2 linked regions of the Arabidopsis thaliana genome follow. The gene in region 1 interacts genetically with each later gene. Each region holds a gene or a part of one and is shown on either strand. Other genes may lie near its edges.

Region 1 (6,243 bases):
ATATGGATGTGCAGGATTATCAGCATTTTACAGATAAGCACATACTTTTTAAGTATTCAGCTGCATTGGTAATTATGAGTTACAACTAGTACTTTGCTAATTCCCTATTTTAATCATTTTTTGTGTGACTAATGCCCTTACTTGTTGACAGATGAATTTTCTTTTGGCGCATTCATTTCCGTAAATCTATTTCTGATCACAACTTCTTCTCGAGCACAAGTAGCTGCTGCCCTGACCTCTTCTTCTGACAACCCCTGCGTCAAAAACGGAAACAGGTAAGGTACTATATATCCACTATACCTTTGAAAAGAAAAAGTTCTATTTTCTGAAACACGCAAAAGTCAACATTTAAGTTAAAGTTTGAAGAATTATCTACAGAGTGTAATGGATATTCGCTGTGGAGTAGAGAAAGCAGTATGTATACCTGCAATCTCGCTGCTACTGCTGCAGCATTTGCTGCCTCCTCCACTTCCTGTTGATTTTTTGTGGCAGTAATCTTACCTCCAAGTTTATGAAGATAATCTTCGGTTTGGGTCAAAAATGAAGAGAGAACAGCATATCTTTCAGCAGCATCACCAGGCATATTAGTTTGCTGTTCCAGCAACATCTCCCTGTATCTTTCTACATCATTATTCTTCAAGGCCTCCATCCTTTTGTTGCGGCCATCATCTTTTCTCTTTGAAAACTCTCTCAACATCTTTTCATGGTATTTGGCCACTCCCCTGTTACGAGCAGTGCGTGCATCACGTATAGCCCAATGAGCCTCAAGGAGTTTCTTACGCCACTGAAAAATGGTTTTCAGCTGCTTCTCTCTGACAGCTTTCTGATTGGCCAGTACTTGTCTATTCATTTCTAGGCGTTGCCGTTCGCATAACCTCACAAATTTGCGGTACGGCCTATCCGGCATGGACATTATCTCCTGTTGTTGTCGATCTACTTCCTCTCTAACACGAGACTGAAGATCAGATAGCCTAAGCTTTTTCTCTTCAATTTGAAGCCGTAAAACAAGATCAGGCCTAATCCTTTTCCTTTCTAAATTTTTTGCTAGCAGACCATTTATCTTCTTCAAACTGTCTGTTCTTTTCTTACTAAGGAACTCTGCACCTTCTTCACAAATCAGATCTTTAATATCATATGCTAATGTGAGATTGTTATTGGCATTGGCTGTTGCAGACCCATAAGAGTCAAGTTTTCGAGTGAAAAAGGGAAAATCAAACAACGGTCCATAATATTTCCTGGCAGAGGCTGTATCCTTGGGCGGCTGGGGAGAGTTTGCTTGTGGAGGAACCTTAGATTGGCTTCCATCAGATGCAACAGCCTTTCCCTTATCAGCTGTAGAATCACTTCTAGGATTCTTTTGAGTACTAGAATCTGCTCCTTGGTCTGACTTAACAGGGAATACATCAGTCTGTTGCTCCTCTTTCGTAGCCACGTCAGTAGAAGTAGCTTCTTTTCCCAGGTTTTGAAATAATTGGCTGTGGCCTGTCGTCAAAGCTACTTCTGTATCTCCAACATTATCTTCCTCTTTAGAAAAAATTGGTCCATTTGAAGAAGCAGCAGCCTGAGACTCCTTGCCACACTCTAGCGACCTTGCTTGGTCTTCTCCAGTTTTGTCTGAAGATCTATCCTGAACTTTCCCTATGGCAGGAGATATTTGCCTCTGCGTCTGTAGTTCAAGCGGTGGTGGAGAAATAGCTTGAAGAAGCTCCGGAGGCAAAGAACCTTCCCCTTTCTGTCAAAAAAAAGCAATTAAAAACATTCAACCTGGCTTGCAGACACGTTATTTATAGGCATACATCTCCAGCAAAACATACAATAAAAATGAAGACATAAGGAAAAAGTCAGAGCTGAAAACCTTCAAACGCCTAAATGCCAGTATCTGGGCTTTGAGAACATGGAGTTGCTGTTTGGTAAATCCTGATCGCTGCTGTGCTTGTTGGGTCCCCTGTCCACTCTGAAGGGACGAGTTACTGAGTGGACCAGTATCAGATGGCGCTACTAAATTTGGAGTCGGTGTATTCAGTTGCCTAGGCTGCTGCATTTGCAAATGTTCAGCAGGACCTAAACTTTTTTTTGTAGATGCATTCTGATCCAAAACAGGAGTCTCATTTGCAGAAGTCTGCAGGGGATTTCCTGAGGGCATCCCATTTGTAGGCTGAACTAAATGTCGAGGATACATTGGATTCTCTCTCCCTTGGCCGGAGAAGGGATTCATAGCAGGATTGACCATTCTGGGACTGGAAGTCGAGGCAAATGAGCCAGTAGATAATGCATGTCTGGCCTTCGCTGATCCTGACTGCCCAGAGATATCACTAGCAGAGTTGGCATGTGGTGAATTCTCACCTGGAACAACCGAAGATGAAGCCGGCTGGCTAGAGATTGGAATAGATGGTGACTGTGAGGCCACATTGCCTTCACCAGCTTTCTGTTGAGCAGCCATTCTTGCCTGAAGGATGTGTGCCATTTGGCTGGCGTTGGCAGGATGTGAGAGATCGATATTACGCTCACGCGCCCATGCCTGCATTGCCTGCCACTGTTGTGCAAATGCGAGTTGGTTGTTTCCCATGTTATTGACAAGCTGCTGAGCCTGTGGTGCTTGCATTGGCCTTATCATATTTCCAGGCATTAGTTGTCCGGTACCCACCTGCTGCTGAGGATGAGATTTTGTTTCGTTCCTTTGCTGAGAACTTGATTCAGTCTGCCTTTCACCGCGAGCAAACTGATCGCCCGATGGCTTCGATGATGAGGCCTGGGGCTGACTAGACGGATTCAAGTCTTGCATATTCAACATTCCCATTCGTGCATCTTGATCCTTTCCCACACTTGATGAACCCACCATTCCCATCCTAGCTTGCTGCTGTGCTTTTTGATGCTGAGCCTGCATAGCAAACTGAATATACGCTTGCTGCATTGGATTAAAATTTTGCTGGCCCTCTTGGGTAGAAGAACCCTGTTGTTGTTGTTGTTGTTGTTGCTGAGGAGACTCAAAAAAATTTCTAGACTGCTGAGGCATTTGCATAGAGCCCGGAGACGAAGCAAAGTTGCCACCGCCCATCATTCCCTGAACCCCACCAGGTTGATATGCAAACATATTTTCGTTTGTATCTGAGTTTCTGTGCTGCTGCTGCTGCTGCCATATCAGAAGCACGATAATAATTAGTAACAATCAAATGAACAATAATCCACAATTCAGAGCAACTATATATATATGTGGAAATGAACAAAACATGTTCTCCAAGTGGCTACCATTACACAACTTCAATTTAAAGATATTGGTTACTTTCCTTTTACACAGAATTGATAAACAGTCAAGTCCCACTAAAATTGAATAGCCGCAAGTTTAACAGACAAACATTAGCCACTACAAACAAGCATTTTATCCCTCCTAAGTCATAACGAACCAAACAGAGACTTGAGAATCCTTTACCTGCCTAGACGCCAGCTGCTGTTGCTGTTGCTGCTGTTGCTGTTGCTGTTGCTGCTGCTGCACAGATGAAGAGGAAGAAGAAGGAGAAGCAGCGGATGACGTGGAAGCAGTCCGACCAGCCGGACCCATGGCCGGATTCCGAGCGGGCCCTCCGCCACTGCCTCCAGATTGCATGCAATTGGTCGAAGAATCTGACAGTCACTACACTGGAAACAATTAAACCCAATGCACAACGAAGCTAGTAGAAGAAGACAAAAAAAAAGTGGAAAAACCCTACCCAATAAATCCCTACAAAAGAATTCGGACAGCGAGAGCCCCCGAGGCAAAGGAAAAAACCTCAAATAGCAACAGAGAGAGAGAGAGAGAGAGAGAGAGAGAGACACTGAGTCGGTTGAAGCGCACACACCTTTCTATTTCTCTCTCTTCTTAGATTTGCATCGAATTTGGGGGAAATCGGAAAACGAAAGTCGCGGGGGATGCAACGGTATAAACTCAGATCCTTTGAGATGGCTTCTCGAAAAATAAAAATAAAAAGGGAGGGAAACGAAATCCACGGAATCGATGATCGATTCCTCTCTTTGAGAAATTCACGCAGATCAGAAATTTCTCGCAGTCAAACCCTAGCTGGCTTCTTACTTCCCTTTTTCTTTTTTTTCTCTTTCTTTTTTTTTTTGGAAGGGGCATTAATTTTATTTTATTTTTGATTGTAGGTCCCACGCCTCGATACAGTTGGAACACGGAAAATGCGTTTCACGAGGCCACCCCTCGGTTTTCGCTTTTATTACCACAAGTACCCTTCCTTATACAAGTCAGTTGCACAAATGACGATGAGACACGTGTGAATTTACCAAACGTTCCTTTTGTTAACCAAATGGAATGACTTTTAATTTTTCCATGTTTATTTCAAATATTTGTTTCCGTATTGGGTAATAAGAATACTAAAATGATACTACTATAAACAAATTTGGAAATCAAAAAAAGAAAAAAAAAAACAAATTTGGAAATCAAATTAGACTTATGTTTGTTTTACTTGATTAATTAATTTGAATTTAAAATTAGACAAATTTTGACTTTTAGTTTTACCTTCTGTAGTGCAGTAGTAGATTAGAGAGAATCATACAATTACCCTTGTTTTATTTACGGTGCAACCTCGTGTCGTTTTCATCTTTCAGCCTTGATATGCTTGCCATCTTTACGTCAATAGTTGGCACGCAGTTCTATTTTAAGATAGAAAAACGGCGAACAGTTTTGAACCAGCAGGTTCAGTTTATGTCGTTAATAGTTTTTTTTCCCGAAACAAGTAAAAAGTCACATTATTATGGTTTTGTGACTTGTGTGCGAGTTTGTAGAAGCTTTACTGATATAGAAATGCCGTTGCCGATGCAGTCTCTCTTCCTCTGTTTCTGATTCCTGAATAAATTTGTTAAACGATGGAGAAGATCGTTCGTTCTTCTTCGCTGATTCTACTTGTTGGCCTCCTTCTTTTTATGAATTTTCACGGATTTGTCCGGATCGCCGAAGCAACGAAGCGACGGATCGAGATCTCCGATGACCTAGACGACGTTGAAGACAATGAAGAAGACGAGTCATGGAAAGAGTGGGGGAAGAAAGCAACGACCCCGGAATTTGATCCGCCTCCGGATTTCACCAATATGGGATTCGATCAGATCCAAGAGGAAATGGCTAAACGGACTTTTGGAACCGTCGTCGGTTTCGTCAAGCTCCGGTTAGGCGTCCCCCGTACCAAGGTAAACTAAAATCCAAATCGAATCGTGAATTTGGGGTCCTTAAGTTATAGTTTCAGTTACTGTTCAAAATTCTCTGAATTCGATATGGGTCCAGTTGCTTCAGGGGATTGAATAGTGATCTGTTTATATGTTTCAATCAGGATGTGGTGATTGATATTGCTATGAAATGGACAAAAGTTTTAAGAACAGGAGGGATAGGAGTAAGATTCATGGCTGTAGATCGAAGCACAGTGATGTTCAATATGCAAAATGGGAAGCTTGTGACTGAGGTAAAAGCCACAGAAAACACACAATGCTGAAAACTTTGTTTAGTGGATTAGTCAAAATCTAACATCACAATCATATCTTTCAATTAGCTAAGGGAATTCGTGCTGAGCCAAGAAGAAGCTTACGAGGTCAAGATAGGGAAGCAAGAGTTTAGAAGACCTGGAGATCCTCCATTTGAAGATGTCTTTGACAAATTTCAAGCTGAGCAAAGGAAAGATCACGAAGATGGTGATGGTAACAAGAATGATCTTACTAAGGATGAATTATAGGTCACAGAAAAGCTTCTATAATGGGTAGTACTGAAAGTTCAACTCTTTTACTGAATCTTACCTAAACATGTTTGGTTTTTAGTTTCCGTTGAATGCCGTAGAATACAATAAAGAGGAAAGCTTTGTTTCTTTTCCAATGAGTATATGCACTCATTTAAGCTTATTGCTAAACGTGGAGAGCTCAATAACCTGAATCCTGGGAATGCCTGCTGCTTCAGCTCTCTCTTTCTCAGTGTTGTATCCCCAGGTTCCTGTTTTGAGATAAGTTTTTGTCAGAATAACCAATAAGGGGAACCAGAAGTGATGATATGGGAGAGGGAAGAGACCACCTAGGTATAAACTCCATTTGTCTAATTCAGGCTCTTTTATGACATTTTTCAGCGTTGCGAGTCTGTCTTCCACGAAACTGGCCAAATTAAAAATGCATAGGGATTGTAAACTAATGGTGACCATTACCAAGTCATGCAGATAGAAGAATTATTGATAGATATATAGAACGTGAGTTACTGCAGCGTCAAGCCCTGATGTTCTG
Region 2 (5,507 bases), about 12 Mb from region 1:
TGAACGCGTGATTTTATTTTTTGGTTTTGTCTTTAATTTGGACCACTCATTTCAGGACACGTCCATGCTTCTTAGCACACATAAAAGATTTTAGCTAAGATGTAAATCTTAGCATTTAAGTCATTTTTGATTTAATTTTAATTACTTAAACCTAAGATATTATGCTAAGATATGTGTTAAGATGCACCGTTGGACTTGCTCTTATATTTTTAGGTTCTAATCTTTACCAAGTTTCTTGCGAGGTACACCAAATTAGTGACTTAATTGATGATTATAATGTTGGTCATATAACTTATGCTTGTTGGTGTCCGTCATTTTGTAATAATCCAATTTTTGATGAGGGTACTTTATTTTTTTTGTTGCTAAGAATGAGGGTACTTATACATTAATTTAGTTGTTATGTGTAGCTATGTAACAAGTTAAATACTCTTAATGAGGGTACTCTAATTACTTTGTGTAACTAGCAAACTTTATTCATAACAAAGAAAATCTGACGGCCGGACGGTTCACGAGAATAGTGACCGGATTGATGGTCCTGGTGCTGGTCATATAACATATGTTTGTTGATGATGCATGTCACCGTACAAACTCATCTTTTGAAGTAAATATAATATACGTGTAAATGATTTTTAGTCGGCATGTGTGGTTATGCAATTTATTATACTTTGTTATCTTTTTTTTAACAAAAATAAATAAATTTAGGCTCATAACCCAACAAAAACCCTAAACCAATTAAATAGAAACGACAATTCTACAAGCTTCGATAAATTAACAAAGACTTATCATATAAACACAAAGTTTATTACCACATATATCAATTTTGACATTTATATACATCTATAAAGTTAATTACTTACTAATTTTAACAAATGTATTCAATATATTTCATAACGATAATAAGATATTAAATATAATTCCACCAACAATTTCATCACACCACCTTTGTATAGGAGTATTAGACTAATTGGAAGGATCGTAGATCATCAAACCCACTTTTGAGTTATAAACTAAACTAGCAAATAATCTAGTAACCGAAACGTACGTACCTTAATAAGTTTTCCAAAAAAAAAAAATGGTTGTAATCAAACCTATGTTGCATTTATTAATTGAAATGGCAGATTATAAAAGTTTAATTCTTAATCTCGTTCTCTGCAAACAACTTATTAAAGATATACAACATGAATTTAGAGATGGCAAGTAAAATTCTTTATTAATTTTCTTATTGGTCACACTCGCCCGATGAAGACTCGGATCGGAACCGAGTCTTTTGGTATCGACGTTCCATTAACCAAATAATGAAATGGAAGCAAATTTTGTTTCACTCTCATTGTTCATCAACTACTTGTTTCCCTTTGCTCATAACATTGTTCTTTTTGTTTGCGCTGTAGCTCCCGAAGAGACTCTCTATTTCTTCTAAAGGCACACCACGTGTCTCCGGGAGGAAAGTGAAGAAGAAGACCCACGCGGCAACCGCAACTCCGGCGAAGAGAAGGAATGCACCACCGATGGTGAGACCCTTAGAAAGAGATAGGAATGTCATTCCTATAATACCACTCATTAGTCTATTCAACATCACTCCCAAACTTGCTCCTTGCGCTCTTAGCCTCACGGGGAATATCTCTGAGGCGTAGACCCACGTCACGGGGCCTGCACCTAATGAGAATGTTGCGACAAAAGTCATCACCGTCGTAACGGCGAGCCCTATAGCCCACTTGAGTGTTTGCCCGGGGTTCCTGTCGATCACCGTGAGACTAGTTCCAAGGGCGGTCAAGGAAAAAAACATTCCACCCATACTCGTAAGCAACAAGGCACGACGTCCAAACCGGTCCACCAAACAAGTTCCTACTACGATGAAGAGAGTCTTGACAACTCCGACAGCGACCGTAGCCAAGAGCTGGTCATTCTTGGACTTCAGTCCAGCCCTTGAGAAGATGGTCGGAGAGTAAAGCACGACAGCATCAATTCCGGAGGCTTGCTGGGAGAAATGGATACCAAGGCATGCTATGAGGATGTGTCGAACGGACGGGGTTGGTCGAACGAGAAGGTCCTTCCACACGCCTTTTCCAGCGCTCTTTTTATTCGGAACGACTATAACATCGTCTGTCATATCATCGGGGATTCCAACTGCGCGTTTGATGTCATTGAGCCTTGAGATGGCTTCTTCTTTGGTGTTTGAGGTTTTGTCAAGGACTTTAAAAGCGTCCCCTAGACGACCCTGCATGACGAGCCACCGTGGAGACTCGGGCATTGCCAACACTCCAATGGCTAGAAACACTGAGGGCACAGCTCCAATACCTAACATGAACCTCCATCCAATGTGCTCTGGAAGCTTGGCGAAGAAGTAATTGGATACGTATCCCAATAGTATACCAATGTTGATAAATATCTGCATGCATATAAAATCATATCACATTAATATAAACCTAATTTTCTTTTTTTTTATATCATATAAACTAGTAAAATTTGGATCTATTGAACCTCAGGGAAAGAGCTAAGGAAGCCTCGAGAAGAGGCTGGAGCGACTTCCGTGGTATAAACAGGCGCAATCATCATAGCGTAACCGACACCGATACCGGCTACAAAACGGCCGACCATAATGAAAGGATAGTTAGTGGCAAAACCCATTAGTAGGGCTCCACAAAAGAAGAAGAATCCTGCCAACACTATGGTATATCGTCTTCCGATCCAATCGGAAGTTCTTCCAGCTGCTCCTGAACCGATCAGAGAATAGATATTTAGAATTCCCATAAGAATCTCAAGTTGTACGTCCGACAGCTTCAAATCGTCTTTTATGAAAATTGCAGCTCCACTCATCACTCCAATATCTGCAACATCCATAAAATGTGAGGATGATTATCTAAACCGTTAAACCAAACCAAATCTGAAATTTGATCGTTAGAGAATGATTAGAAGACCAACCATAACCAAGGATGATAGAAGTCATGGAGGCTAAGATTGCACAAGCAAAAGCAAATCGGCTTCTATTCCCTCTTGGCGGCTCGGACTCGGCAACAACAACACCTCGTTCTTCTCCTGAGGAACTCATTGTGTCCACCGCGATTGTAAAACTTACGGTGAAAACGTAATTAGTAAGGAGAAGAGAGAGTGATATTAGCAGATGAACTTTGTTTCTTGTGAGACACGAGACCTATTGAAAGATGAAGAGATTTAAATAGATGAATGATACTCACAACTGAAGCCAACCAATAACTGAATGTTTAAACAATAAAAAACATTCAGTTACTTAAAACGGTTTAAAAAGTTTCAGAGGATAGGAAATCGGATTAGAAGATATCAAGAGACGCAGGTTTTTTCTCTCAACTACAAGTTTTGTCCTAAAATTGGCAGTTTACAGTAAGACCAGATCATTTAAGATTTTAAGTTTTGTCTCACTTTTTACGTTTTTTTTTTTTGTTATTTTCTTTTCTAAACTTAGAAACATAAGTAAATAGGCATCTACACGTATCAGATTGTTATAAATCTAAATATAAACAGTGCAAGTAAGAATTGTGTAGATACATGCAATAAGATTGCTCACTCTCTTTTTACTGATGCTTAATTTGTTTCACATAGGCCAATGTTTATATCCATTCGTTACTAGAGTCAAGAAATTTCCGCATTTTTGAGGCTCCGAGCAACGTACAATCCTTGTCAACTCCAATACAAGTTTTTTCAATGATAATTTTATTTGAGCGGACAAAGGCTTCTCTAAGTCTACTTTGACAAGCACTCTAGCCATGTCTAAGCGTGTGCATCTCTCTCGACGGGAGTTCCAACCAGGCTGCCCCACAATATTATCGAGGGGTTGTACCTTACAGAGTTGCAAGTCAAGGGATTGACATCTATATATAAGAACACGAAAAACCTTGTCTCATTTTAGGAATCGATACTTATCTAGTATCTTAAAGACTTATCAAAACCTATATGTAATCGGAAAACTCCAAAACAAGAATATTCAAAATAAAGATAAAAGAGAACTAAAATAAAACCCAACATGGAGAAGCTCCCTAGTTCCTACATCAGCAAGAATCTCAAACATAGGATTGAACTTGGTAACTGAATTCGATGCATCTCAATGATGTAAAGAGAGTTCCACGAGCCTGGCTTTTGGATATATACTTTTTAAGAGTCGGCTATCAACGTTGCAAGAAAGCACTTATAGGGCTGCGTTTTTTGAAACTTTTAAAATTATTTGATTTAGTCTCAAACTTCAAATTTCAGATTCTCTGATCAAAGATGCGTATAATGTAACAAAGGTTTTTTGGTGTATAAAATTTAAAATTCATGCAAAATAAAAAATCTTTTAAGCTAATTCATTTTTGTTTGTATTTCTATTTAAGTTTTTAGAATTGTATCTTACTTTTATCTTGATTAGGTGATTTTATCAAATATAGATTTGAATCGAACATGCATAACAATTATTTCACTAAGTTAGCATCACATATATATATATATATTTTTTACAATAGAATACATCAAACTTTAAATATTAAAGACAACATGTACATGTTTTTTTCTCTTGAATAACTAAGAAGTCATAGGCCAAGGTTGAGATCCATACATTCTCTTAGTCCGGTGACCAAAGAATTTTATATGGTTTTCTCCCGAGTGCCACTCAAGCCAGCGATTTTTAAGTTTTGCATGAGAAATAGCAAAAGGTTAGATCAAAGTGGCAAAATGTTTAAAAGATTTAAGTGATGCATATTTATGTCCATGTCCATGTCTGTGACCTGCATTGAAGTATATGTTAAGCTTCTTCTTGCCACCTCCCTTCTTCAAGTGTTTCTTCTGACGTTGTCCAAGATCTGTTCAAAAATGAAATTATCACATGGAGATCTCAATTTCCATAATCGAAATATACCAAAAGCAAATGCCAAAAATACATCAATCATGTTCCTAAAAATTAACTATCAAGCGCCGATTTATGCGAATAATTGTTACCAAAACAAACACAGCTCGAATCCATCTAACTCTTATCTTTGATTTACCTCTTACCATGGCTTGATACTTAGATGAGACTAAGCATGCAAAGCTTTCTCATCCAGTAGCTGAGTTGCATATGTCCACACTATACGGTCCAATGGACCCTTCAGAAAAATCAACTTCATTGAATTTTTGACGTTCATATGATCATCTCCAAAGTGAGTAGGCCACCACTGTATCAGTTTTTCAACAGTTAATCTCTCAAGTTTATGTCATACTAAGAGACAAGATCCAATTACTTTATCAACAAAATCCAAAAAATTGTATATGAGTAAGCACCTTAGATCACTAGGTAAGAAACAAGAGTAACATTATTGAGGTGTCCAGCGGGAGACTTTTATTATCCACATCAAGATTGAAATCATTCTAGCTATTGTGTTAGAAATATCAAACATGAGTCATTTATCATGGTGAAAATCATAGTGGTAAGTATTAGGAGAAAGTCAATGAATATTTAGGCCATTGTTCAGAGAGCCTTTGACTTTATCAACCTATTTCTCACAATCTCCATTGGTTTAAGGTAA

What was found. A genetic interaction does not mean that the proteins touch.
Region 2: of BRM (region 1) and PMT2, extra expression of one rescues a mutant of the other (dosage rescue), as found in Arabidopsis thaliana (one study listed by BioGRID).

What each region holds. Positions count from the first base shown.
Region 1 is NC_003071.7:18,920,662-18,926,904, reverse strand, and holds the start of BRM (transcription regulatory protein SNF2), read right to left. Parts: upstream 4,373-6,243; 5' UTR 3,705-4,372; intron 3,629-3,704; 5' UTR 3,602-3,628; coding exon 3,428-3,601; intron 3,131-3,427; coding exon 1,856-3,130; intron 1,733-1,855; coding exon 425-1,732; intron 255-424; coding exon 142-254; intron 1-141. Other genes in the region: AT2G46000 (LDL receptor wingless signaling/trafficking chaperone), read left to right, coding at 4,858-5,175, 5,316-5,444, 5,532-5,711; AT2G45990 (ribosomal RNA small subunit methyltransferase G), read right to left, coding at 5,862-5,962, 6,041-6,117, 6,219-6,243. UniProt on the Arabidopsis thaliana protein: ATPase subunit of a multiprotein complex equivalent of the SWI/SNF complex that acts by remodeling the chromatin by catalyzing an ATP-dependent alteration in the structure of nucleosomal DNA.
Region 2 is NC_003071.7:6,999,861-7,005,367, reverse strand, and holds PMT2 (polyol/monosaccharide transporter 2), read right to left. Parts: upstream 3,197-5,507; 5' UTR 3,047-3,196; coding exon 2,920-3,046; intron 2,826-2,919; coding exon 2,479-2,825; intron 2,387-2,478; coding exon 1,325-2,386; 3' UTR 1,133-1,324; downstream 1-1,132. UniProt on the Arabidopsis thaliana protein: Plasma membrane sugar-proton symporter.